2 linked regions of the Ovis aries genome follow. The protein of the gene in region 1 binds, or shares a complex with, the protein of each later gene. Links are inferred from orthologs where the notes say so. Each region holds a gene or a part of one and is shown on either strand. Other genes may lie near its edges.

Region 1 (5,387 bases):
TGGGCCTTCTGCTTTCGAGCAGCCCTTTCAATGGGCAACAACTGAAAAGAAAGACAAGTGGCTGGAGGTGCAAAGCCGACCCACCCACCAGCCCACAGAACACCTCCCGCCTGTTTCTTTCCTAAATACAAACGTAAGTCTTGCTCCCAGAAAGAAATACAGATTCTACAAAAGTGACTGTATGCTTGGCACGATATTTACCATTGTTGAAATAAAACGAGGAATTCAAAGCATTCATTATATTGGTCTTCCCACACCATACCATACACAGGGTGGGGACGAAAACTGCCCTGAGGGTGCCCGTTTCGCCGTATTTCCCTACACACTTACTCTACGTCATTTTTCACAGTTAAAATCACGATGCATTTTCAAGTTTGCCTCTTGCCTTTCTCATTCACAGTAAGAACACAAGCATTTTCACAGACATATTGGCCAAATGTTGATTTCACATATGAATGAACTTTAATTCACTTAAGTAAACCGGACATTTTGGAAGCTTCCAGACTTTTGGCATTATGGTCCACATGGACGGTGCCTGGTAACTTCAAAATGGTAGCTCTGTACAGAGGAGGGGGATGTGGGTGAGGGGTGCAAGTGGACACTTGCACTGAATTTTGCTTGAACTTTTCTAATGACACAAATATATGAACTGTATAATACGTAATAACTCCTTATACTTTAACAAGTAAACCTTTGTCTACATTCTGGATCACATTCCTAAGGTGGAATTGCTGTATCAAAAGGAAAATCTCATGTTTCAAAGTACTCTATCCCTATGGCTCTTCTAAACTTGCACATGTGCCGAGAGGAGGTAATCGGTGCTCTGAAACAGTGATGGCACACCAAAGTCCCTTTTCTCTCCTCAGGCTTACCCTCATCACTGAGAGACAGTCAAAGCAATCTGGAAAAGACTCTAATAAAAGGCAAGGATCGCTTCTGGGAGATCCAGAGGGATGGAGCCCACCTCTTCATCGTCATCCTCATCTTCGTCCTCTGAGTTGGAGCCAGCTCCATAATCATCTATCATATCGGCATCACTGTCCTCGGAGCCCCAGAGGTCCTCCTGGTTCACCACACCGTCCCCTTCAGAGTCTTCCTCCTCCTCCTCTGCACTGCTATGAGTTGGTGCCGGGCGCTTCTTGCCTCGAGCCATGTTAAATAAGGACGAGGCTTCCTTCTTACCAGGTGTCTGGACAGCTCCTGCAGAGACCCCAAAGGGTTTGCAGAATCCTAGACCGGTGGCAGACAAACACTGATAGAACCTGCCTTCCCTACACCTGAGAATATCCTGTGGCTGTTCCTTTCAGGTCAGAAATGCTCAGCAAGTCCCTCCTTCCCCAGGACCCAGAGGAAGAACCCAGCTCTTATTTTCACTGACCTTTTGGTAGCTTCCCAGGCAACGGTTTGGCCCCAGGGGACTTATTCGTCTCAGGGGCTTCAGCAGAGCCCAACCTTCTCTTGGCTGCCCTAAAAACACATAAGAAGTGGAAAACGGAACACACCTCCAGGCTCTGCCACCTCCCAGAGTGGGGAAATGTGACAGTCCCCAACAGCCCTTCCCATCAGCTTGATCACATGGGATCACACGCTGAAAGACGAGCAGGACCGATTTAATCCGTGTAATCTAGGTCTGGACACACTCACCTCTTTCGAGCACGACTTGACAGCCTTTTAGAATTTTCATCACCACCTGTTTAAAAACAATCAGAATAGGAGATTACAGGAGAAACAACTAGGATACTAATTAAAGGGAGTAAACAGTAAGCCACTCCACTGTGCTCTGGGGGCTTTCCTGGTGGCTCAGACCATAAAGAATCCGGCGGCAATGCAGGAGACTCAGGCTCGATCCCTGAGTTGGGATGGGGAAGGCAATTGCAACCCACTCCAGTATTCTTGCCTGAAGGATCCCATGGACAGAGGAGCCTTGCGGGCTACAGTCCATGGGGTAACAGAGGATGACAGGGCACACACACCACGTGCTCTCCCAGGAGCCGGCCAACAGATGCCAAGGAGACGAGCTCCGTCTGGTTGTTCACCAACCAAATCCAAACTGGGCCTCCCTCCAGACTGGTTTCAATGGCATCAGCACCATTCTGGTAACACAGACTCTTTCTTCTGCTCTTTTACTCTCAACTAATCAGTTACCAGGGCTTCCCTGGTGGCTCAGTGGCAAAGAATCCACCTGCCAATGCAACAGACCAAAGTTCAATCCCTGGCTCCGTCCCCTAGCGAAGGATATGGCAACCCACTCCAGTATTCCATGGGAAATCCCATGGACAACGGAGCCTGGCGGGCTACAGTCCATGAGGTCGCAAGAGAGTCAGACACACTGAGGCGACTAAACAATACAATCAGTTACCAACCACAGATTCCACAACTGCTGCCGTTCATATGTTCTCTAAATAACTTAACATTTAAATCTCAGCTCTTTGATAATTATCAATTACAGACAACTAATAATTGTCTGCAAGTTAAACTCTCGGCATCCACTTTCTAAGCAGCACCTCTCTCATAGGACACTGCGGTGATATGAGCCCAAAGGGTTCAACACAGTGTTGAGCACTTGCCAACACCTCAATTAATCACATCTTTTATACAAAGATGCACATGAACTACCTGCCCCTTCTCCCCTCCCACCCTGTCTTCCATGCAGTAGACAACCAAGTATTATGCAGGAACCAGATTTGTGGTTATCGTCTCCATCTCCTCCAGAACGCAGTTCACAGTGAGTGGACTGCCCCCTTCCCAACCTCCCCTTGCTACAGTGTCATCCATTTTTCCCAAAACCCAACTTCTTTACAGAATCTTTTTAAGCTCTCTTAACTCTATGGCTTGCCCCTTCCTGGGAACTCCCTCAACGTTGAATCACACCTGTCCTTGCATAGCTTCTTGTGTCCCTGCTGCATCTCCTCTAGGTTCTAAATGCTAATCAGAGTATTTCATTCATACTAGTCTTCTAGTAAATCATTACAACGTTCTGTTTGAACGGAAAATGAACACATAGACCAAAAAAACTAAAGAGTTAAGATATAAAGGAAGAATAACGCAAAAGCGGGAGTATCAGGAGGGGAAGCACGCCTGACTCTTACCTGCAGGCAAGAATTTGGCGAGTTCGGTCTCTGCACCTTTCTGTTTCCGGGCCTTTCGGCCCGGCCCGCGCTTCTCCTTCTTCGTAGGGTCCAATTTGCGCCCCATGGTCCTGGGGAACACAAAAACGGGAGATGGTAAACGTGCTGAAAGGGAAAGGCAGATCGCAGACGGTCAGGAAAGGGCAATGACTCCATCAGAACCTCGACTCAGCAGCCCCCTAGCCTCTCGAGGCCTAGCCAAACCTCCACTCCACGCTGAGCCCCAGGCCCTGGGTCCCACGCGCCAGGTGCCCCTCCACACGTCCCAATCCAAGTCAGCGTCTCACTCTCCCTCACCTGACTTAGTTCAGACCCGCCCGAAGCCTCGGCTCACCTGAAAGAGGAAGGCACGGAGTTCCACGTGCAGCTCGGCCAGGAGATCAGACACCACCCCACGGAAACGTCTCGCGCAGGCGCACTGCGCGCCCCGAAGTCCCGCCTCTTCCGGCCTTCCGGTCCGATTAGGAAGCCGGAACACTTGCTCGCCGGGCCGGCGCGAAGCCGGGCAGGATTCCAGAGCGGACCGCTCCGCTCTCCCCGCTGGCGAAGGCGGTGCCCACGAGGCGTCTTCGACTTCCCCGCCCTCCACTCCAGGCGTGGGCCTTTGGCCTCGTAGAGTTCATTTGGAAATACTGTACCCGGAAGCCGCCCCTTCCCCCTCGAACACCGGCGCTAGAGCTGCGCCCTCCGCCTGACGTTGCCCCGAGATCGGCGGCCCCCACGCCTGTGACGCGGAAACCCTCTTCCTTGACCGCAGGACCCGCGCTGCCTCTCAGGTAAGACCAGGTTCCCGTCTTGGAGGTCGGGAGGAAGGCATCTCGTGTCCACATTTCACCCACGCAAGCTAACAGAAAAACTGACTTCAGCCTTCCTGCAAGTAAACACCAAGGTGGCGCTCAGCTGTTAAAAATACTGTTCCAGCCCTGGTTCCACCTTCACAACACTGCGAGGAAGATCTTTTCATTTTATGCATGATATTTCTACAGCTTGGAGAAGCCTGCTTCCGCACGCTCGCAGAGCCGGGAAGCCACGGATCAGGTTGTGAACCGCGGGTGGCGGGGCGTGGGGAAGGCGTCCTGCCCGGAACACGTGTACAGATGGGAGAGTCGATTCTTCCGTGGACTCTGATGCTACAAGGAAACCCCTATTCTCCAATTACAGGTGTCCCAGGGCTCCCGTCACTCACTCACCCACCTGCACCTACACCCACACTGAACCAGAGCACTAAAATACAAGGAAACTTTTATTTTCAGTTTTCATCAAGAAATTTTTTTTTTTTATGCTTTTGGTTCTTTTCCTTTTTTTTTTTTTTTTTCCACTTTATTTCATTCTAGCCACTCAGGGGCTGGAGCCGCTGGGTTCCTGGTATTAAAAAGATGCCAACAGAGGTAGCTGTGTCTCGCCCAGGGGCCCGGCCCACTGTGAATACCCCCCAAAAAGGAGAAAAGAAAACACAAAATCAACCAACAAAATAAAACGTAAGGAGGAAGAAACTCCGATCATTTTCTTCAAGCCTGGCGGGAACCCACAACAGTTCGTGTGTAACAGACAGTGTTACAGTGGGGAGAAGCCAGGGCCCAGAAGGCCAGCCCGCCAGCTCCCTGCAGATGGCGCCGGCGCTACTGCTGCAGTCTCTCCAGCAGGAAGGGCACCACTGCCCCTCACTCCCTCCCCTCCCCTAGTGCTCCGGGGACTGTTCCTCTACAACTTAGAAGATAGGGCAGAAGGAAGGAGAGGGTCTCTCGGGCCCCAGGGGAGAATCTGGGCAAGGGAAAGTGAGGAAGGTCACTGCTCAGCGGTGGAGGTGGTATCTTCCATCTGGGTCTTCACTGCTGCTGGGCTACCTATAGGAAGAGAAGGCCAAGGGAGTCAGAGTTTCGAGACCACAGCAACCCACTAGATCCCAAGAGGACTCACTGGTAAGCCCACCCCGCTGCCCAGCCTGTAAAGCTAGGGACAAACAGCAAAGTTTCCAACTTCCAGAATGGCTCTGTTCAACAGCTGGCCAGAGGAAAATGGTCCTATACCTGCTGTGGAGGTGGTTCAGGCGCCCGGTTTGCCAGGCGACTGAGAATATTACGCTCTGACATCTGTAGCCTCACAGCAACTGGGGGGATTCGGGCAATAGTGGCTGGGAGTCGAGTCACATCAGCTTTCATGTCACTCAGCAGTTCTTCTAGCTGTTTCAGAACTGCATGGGGAGAAAAAGAGGCGGTGAGCCGTGGTGGTCAAGACCCAGGTCCGTCCTCCCATATGGGG
Region 2 (5,134 bases), on another chromosome or scaffold:
CCTAACATTCAGGTCAACTGGCCCTCCTTCATTATCCCTCCCTTTAAAAGGTTTTTATTTTACTGAACAAAAAAAGCCAGGTACAAAACACGCAAGCCTTTTAGAGTGCTTGACAGTGAAAGTTGCTCAGTCCTGTCCAGCTCTTTGCCACCCCATGGACTAAACAGTCCATGGAATTCTCCAGGCCAGAATACTGGAGTAGTGGGAGCTGTCCCCCTCTCCATGGGATCTTACCAACCCAGGGATCAAACCCAGGTCTCCCACATTGCAGGCAGATTCTTTACCAGCTCGGCCACCAAGGAAGCCTAAGAATATTGGAGAATATCCCTTCTTCAGGGGATCTTCCTGACCCAGGAATCAAACCAGGGTCTCCTACGCTGCAGGCAGATTCTTTACCAGATGAGCTACCAGGGAAGCCCATTGAGTGCTTGCTGCTGCTGCTGCTGCTGCTGCTGCTAAGTCGCTTCAGTCGTGTCTGACTCTGTGCGATCCCATAGATGGGAGCCCACCAGGCTCCTCTGTCCCTGGGGTTCTCCAGGCAAGAACACTGGAGTGGGTTGTCATTTTCTCTCCAACGCATGAAAGTGAAAAGTGAAAGTGAAGTCGCTCAGTCCTGTCCAACTCTTTGGGACCCCATGGACTGCAGCCTACCAGGCTCCTCTGTCCCTGGGGTTCTCCAGGCAAGAATACTGGAGTGGGTTGCCATTTTCTCTCCAACGCATGAAAGTGAAAAGTGAAAGTGAAGTCGCTCAGTCCTGTCCAACTCTTTGGGACCCCATGGATTGCAGCCTACCAGGCTCCTCTGTCCATGGGATTTTCCAGGCAAGAGTACTGGAGTGGGGTGCCATTGCCTTCTCCATTGAGTGCTTGAAATGAAGTGAAGAAGTGAAGTGAAGTTGCTCAGTTGTGTCCGACTCTGCGACCCCATGGACTGTAGCCTACCAGGCTTCTCCAGGCAAAAATACTGGAGTGGGTTACCATTTCCTTCTCCAGGGGATCTTCCCAACCCAGGGATCGAACCCAGGTCTCCCGCATTGGAGGCAGACGCTTTAACCTCTGAGCCACCAGGGAAGCCCCATTGAGCGCTTTGTGCAGGTCAAATACCTGACAATACTAGGGAGGTCCATGCCTTCTTTGCACAGAAAAACATAAATATGTACTATTTTTACATATAACAGTATGTAAAGTATATAAAGTATAATAGTATTTCTTACTGAACCTAAGAAATCAAAGTTGAAAATACTCTTCTAGATGCAGGAGAGGCAATAATTTTTGAAGAAGGAAATTACAAGAACCAGATTTCACTTTTAGTGTGTATGAAAATGATCCAAGATAGTCTGAAATAAGATTCCATACCAGAGCTGCTAGAAAAGAGATTTTTGATATAGCAATGTAAGACAGTGCTTAAATTAGTTCACTGGCAGTGAAGCCAAGAGTAGGGAGTTCATGTGCTTAATGACCATATATCTCAATTACCACCTTCTTAGAGATCTTGCCAAGAGATCGTGTCAGATTAACTTTGTTGTGTTACATGAAAAACTTTATATATAAATGTATGTTCAGTCTTATCTATTGCTATTTGGCTTCCTCTATGGGTAACTTTAAAATAACTGGCATTGTTCTTCCCTATTTTGAAGCTGAAGTACATAAGAGCCCATGGTCTAAAATTAATTAAAATTCATAAATACAGTAAATCAACTGTGATTTTTAACAACTTCAATTTCCTGGTGCACTTCAGCTATCACATATAACCCTCAAGTGTCCATGTAAATGAAGACAATCTACATGACAGCAAGATGTTTGCAGACACATTTACTACTTTGGAAACCAAGCTTGATGAGTTGCACAACATAATTTCCATAACCAAGCCAAGATTATTTAATTTGAATGGTTAAGACTTTAAAAATATATTGTAAAGCAATCACAAGACAAAGCATTACAGCTTGTTTTTTTGATAGGACAAGGTTACAGTATATTTTTATACATTTCTTATTCCCCTCTTCCCCATGCCCATAAAATTTCTGGAAGGAACAGGCCATCTTTATCCCTCTGCAGCAATCTCATGATGGTATGAATAAAAGCTCAGTTAAGTACTTGCTAAATTTGTGTACTTAACCAATTCTTGACAATTCAGTAGATTCAAACAAAAAGTTAGTAATGGTTTAAAAAAAAAGAAAAAAGAAAAGAAAAAAACTTGGTGGGCAGTAGCCAACAATACAATCACAGATAGTAGAAACCCAAATATTGTAATCACTGTGTTGCCCTAAATATAGAAAGGTCTCATAGTTTGGCCAAGAACAGCACATAAATCAATGCATTATATGAACTTCCTTTCCTGTTTCTCTCAATCCACTTTGAGTCAAAGTATTAAAAAACTGATAATATTCTAAAAAGAATCTGGGGAGAAGGAATAGAACCTATCTAATGGGATTGTTAAAATTAGAGAAAGTTAAATAATAATACTGATTAAAAGAAAAAGTTGGTATATGTCTTGCAGGTGGACCATTTCTCTAAAGCACCTAATCAATTACTGAACTCAGGAAAGGCAGCTCCTTTCCATTTGTTCCCACAGAAAGTTCTTTCCTGACTGCAACGGGCACCTTTCAGCCTCAGATCGAACCCACTGACAATCTACAAAACGCTGAGAATTAAAAGCGAGAATGCCAATGTTAGAAAACTGATCAAACACCTTCTCAACACAACCCCCTGAATTCAAGTGTCCTAATCCCACAGCTTTACAGGGCATTTCAAAGGCGCTTTACACAAAGAATCCCGCAGGTGCAAAGGGAGAAACTGAAAAGGGAGCCCAGGCGATGCACGACATGAGGGTAACGCCAGAGAACTCAGGTGCTCCCCAGTGTTTACAAACAGAAGGGCCAGAAGCTTACACATCGAGGGGAGTCTAAGCCGGAAAAAAATTGAGCGCGGAGGAGTTCTAGAGAAGTAAAGAAAAATAAAAATAATAATAACTGGATCGCCGACTACTATTAAAAGTCAGTCGCCACTTCCGGACCCTACCTGTTAGTAATTCCACTTCCGGCCTCCTCCGAAAGGCCCGCTCCCACAGGCGGACATCCAGCACCCAATGAGAGTGTTACCTACTTCCGCGGGGGCTGAATGACGTCATTTAAGTCCCGTCCTTTCCGGAAGAGAGGAGCCTATCGTAGAGCCCGAGACCCGCGCCTCAGGAGGAGGTACCCTGACAGGCCCAACCAAACCGCGGAAAGGGAAGAGAAAGGCAAGCCGGCCGTGCACGCCTCTTCCGCCCTGGGCCCGGAAGGGTGATGTGGCTGGGGCTCCGCCGGCCTCACTATGGTAAGAACCGGGGCTTTGGGGTCGCAACTGAGCTTTGTGCAGGGGCTGCGAACCAGTACAAGGGGTGGAGGGTTGAGTGGCAGTCCCCGGCCGGGGAGCCCTGTCGCTAACTTGACTCTCCTGGGGCTCAGAGGGAGAGATGGGCCCGGGAGCCATGTGGCCACTGCACGTCCAAACTGGGACAACCGGAGCCGACAGCCCAAGAAAGAGCCTCAGGGCCGCAGAGCCCCTCCTCACACGCAGAGGCTACTTTAATGACTTGTTTCAAAGAAATGCGCTGGTTTGGCTTAACCCGTCGTTACTTATTCTTTGTGGTTATTTTCAGGCTTTAGAGCTGCCGGATTTGCGCGCTTGTTGTTTTGCGGTTTGTTATCTCATTGCCGACCTAAGCCAGGTGTTTCATTGTTTTCAAACAAACTCGAGACATGCCACCTTAATTTTGACTTGTTGAATTAATTGGCCTTTTAGGTCTCTCCAGCTCCATTCTCTCAACTCTAAAGATGCTACTTTATAAGCTGTGATATAATCACTGGAGTTGTCTGTAGAGGTGGCTTTTCTAGAAGCTTACTGTGCTTGGAGTGGTTTCTGGCCTCGGGTCTTCCCTTCCATACATTATTAAGGTTTCCTGTGTTATTTTGTCTTATTGCAGATTCCTTTAATAGTTTGGGCCTCTTGGAGAAGCTTGAAATTAGCTTGAATAAGTTCACAAGAGAAATGTTTACTTCTCCAAGCTACGAAAAATACATAAAACCAACGTGGACGAAGGACAGATGAAATAATCAGTAGTAATAGCAAAGATCTCCCAAGCTATGTCTGCAGGCATTTCACCTTTGTCACGGTAAATGCTAACAACCTCTACACTGGGCCCTCCCCATGAATTTAGGAGGTCTATATGCCAGATGTGTTTATGAGGAAAAGATTCGTGCCTTTTATTATAGTATCAAAAGCAGCCATGACAAAAGCTTTTCTGCAGTGAAAAGTTGTTGAGCTTACGTTCCCAGAAGTTCCTGCAGAATCCCATACAGCATAAAACCCTTAGACTTTGAATCGAAAACTCATTAATTGTTGTTTACTTTGTGCCAGCTACTGTTATAGCTGGAGCATAAGTCACAGTCTTTTCCCTGGAGAAGTTTACAATGTATAGAGGGGATGACATTTTATTGGCAAATTATTCCTTCCTTGGCCGAAGATACTCTCCAGTTCCAAAATCGAACTATCACATGAAAGGACACAAGTGGATAGACTTGTGTCCTGAATGAGCCATTATTTAACTTAGAAAATGTGGTTCATTTTGCAATCCAAAAAGAGTAACGAGACTGTTACTCTTAATTCTTGCATATATCCTCCTTGAGGCTGAAATGGATTATTTTACTCATAGTACAGGCAGAGATAGATTCTTCTTTTTGTCTTATGTTCTATTTAGAAGCAAGACATATACCACTTAAGATTAACAGTATTTGAGCCATCTGGCCATACTGGTTTATTCAGAGAAACAATAATAACTCTCATTTATTAGCTATTGCTGTGTGCCAGGGTGCATTTGAAAAATCAACTTGAAAGTATTGTTTCATTCGAAACTTCTGAATAGATGTTTACAGGCGAAGGAAGTCAGGCATGTCAGAAGACTTCATGCTGTTGTTAATGAAAAGAACATAACTGAAAATCACATATGTCATAGTGGTTTGTTGCTCTCAAATATAATATGCCCATCAGATGGGGGTGGAAAATAGAAATAACTGCCAAGTAATTAATGTTTTCATTCCTGCTCTGTTCCTGTGAGCTTCAGAAGTCAGCATTTCAGGAGAAGTACATTGTAGTT

What was found. Proteins that work in one complex are often made in the same cells at the same time.
Region 2: the proteins of IFFO1 (region 1) and XRCC4 are in contact, whole or in part, in a crystal structure (PDB 6ABO), measured with the Homo sapiens proteins. The link is inferred for Ovis aries from reciprocal best matches to the Homo sapiens genes IFFO1 and XRCC4. Residues at the interface, in NP_001317253.1 of Homo sapiens: Arg469, Glu470, Tyr473, Ile477, Gln479, Ile480, Glu481, Glu483, Leu484, Ala487, Lys488, Asp490, Met491, Arg493, His494, Leu495, Tyr498, Met501, Lys505, Leu508, Asp509, Met512, Cys515, Arg516, Leu518, Ile519, Thr520, Gln521; in NP_001304941.1 of Homo sapiens: Trp155, Val158, Gln159, Phe162, Glu163, Cys165, Val166, Lys169, Glu170, Glu173, Leu176, Tyr177, Phe180, Val183, Leu184, Lys187, Lys188, Lys190, Ile191, Leu194, His195, Lys197, Leu198, Ala201, Ala202, Arg205, Glu212.

The regions. Positions count from the first base shown.
Region 1 is NC_056056.1:209,680,295-209,685,681, reverse strand, and holds the start of IFFO1 (non-homologous end joining factor IFFO1), read right to left. Parts: upstream 3,523-5,387; 5' UTR 3,463-3,522; exon of another isoform or gene 3,426-3,462; intron 3,234-3,425; exon of another isoform or gene 3,200-3,233; 5' UTR 3,196-3,199; coding exon of another isoform or gene 3,090-3,195; 5' UTR 1,691-3,089; coding exon of another isoform or gene 1,645-1,690; 5' UTR 1,468-1,644; coding exon of another isoform or gene 1,379-1,467; 5' UTR 1,231-1,378; coding exon of another isoform or gene 965-1,230; 5' UTR 42-964; coding exon of another isoform or gene 1-41. Other genes in the region: NOP2 (probable 28S rRNA (cytosine(4447)-C(5))-methyltransferase), read right to left, coding at 1-41, 965-1,230, 1,379-1,467, 1,645-1,690, 3,090-3,195; CHD4 (chromodomain-helicase-DNA-binding protein 4), read right to left, coding at 4,955-4,972, 5,156-5,319. UniProt on the Homo sapiens protein: Nuclear matrix protein involved in the immobilization of broken DNA ends and the suppression of chromosome translocation during DNA double-strand breaks (DSBs).
Region 2 is NC_056058.1:80,502,429-80,507,562, reverse strand, and holds the start of XRCC4 (DNA repair protein XRCC4), read right to left. Parts: upstream 3,088-5,134; 5' UTR 3,019-3,087; intron 1-3,018. Other genes in the region: TMEM167A (protein kish-A), read left to right, coding at 3,313-3,315.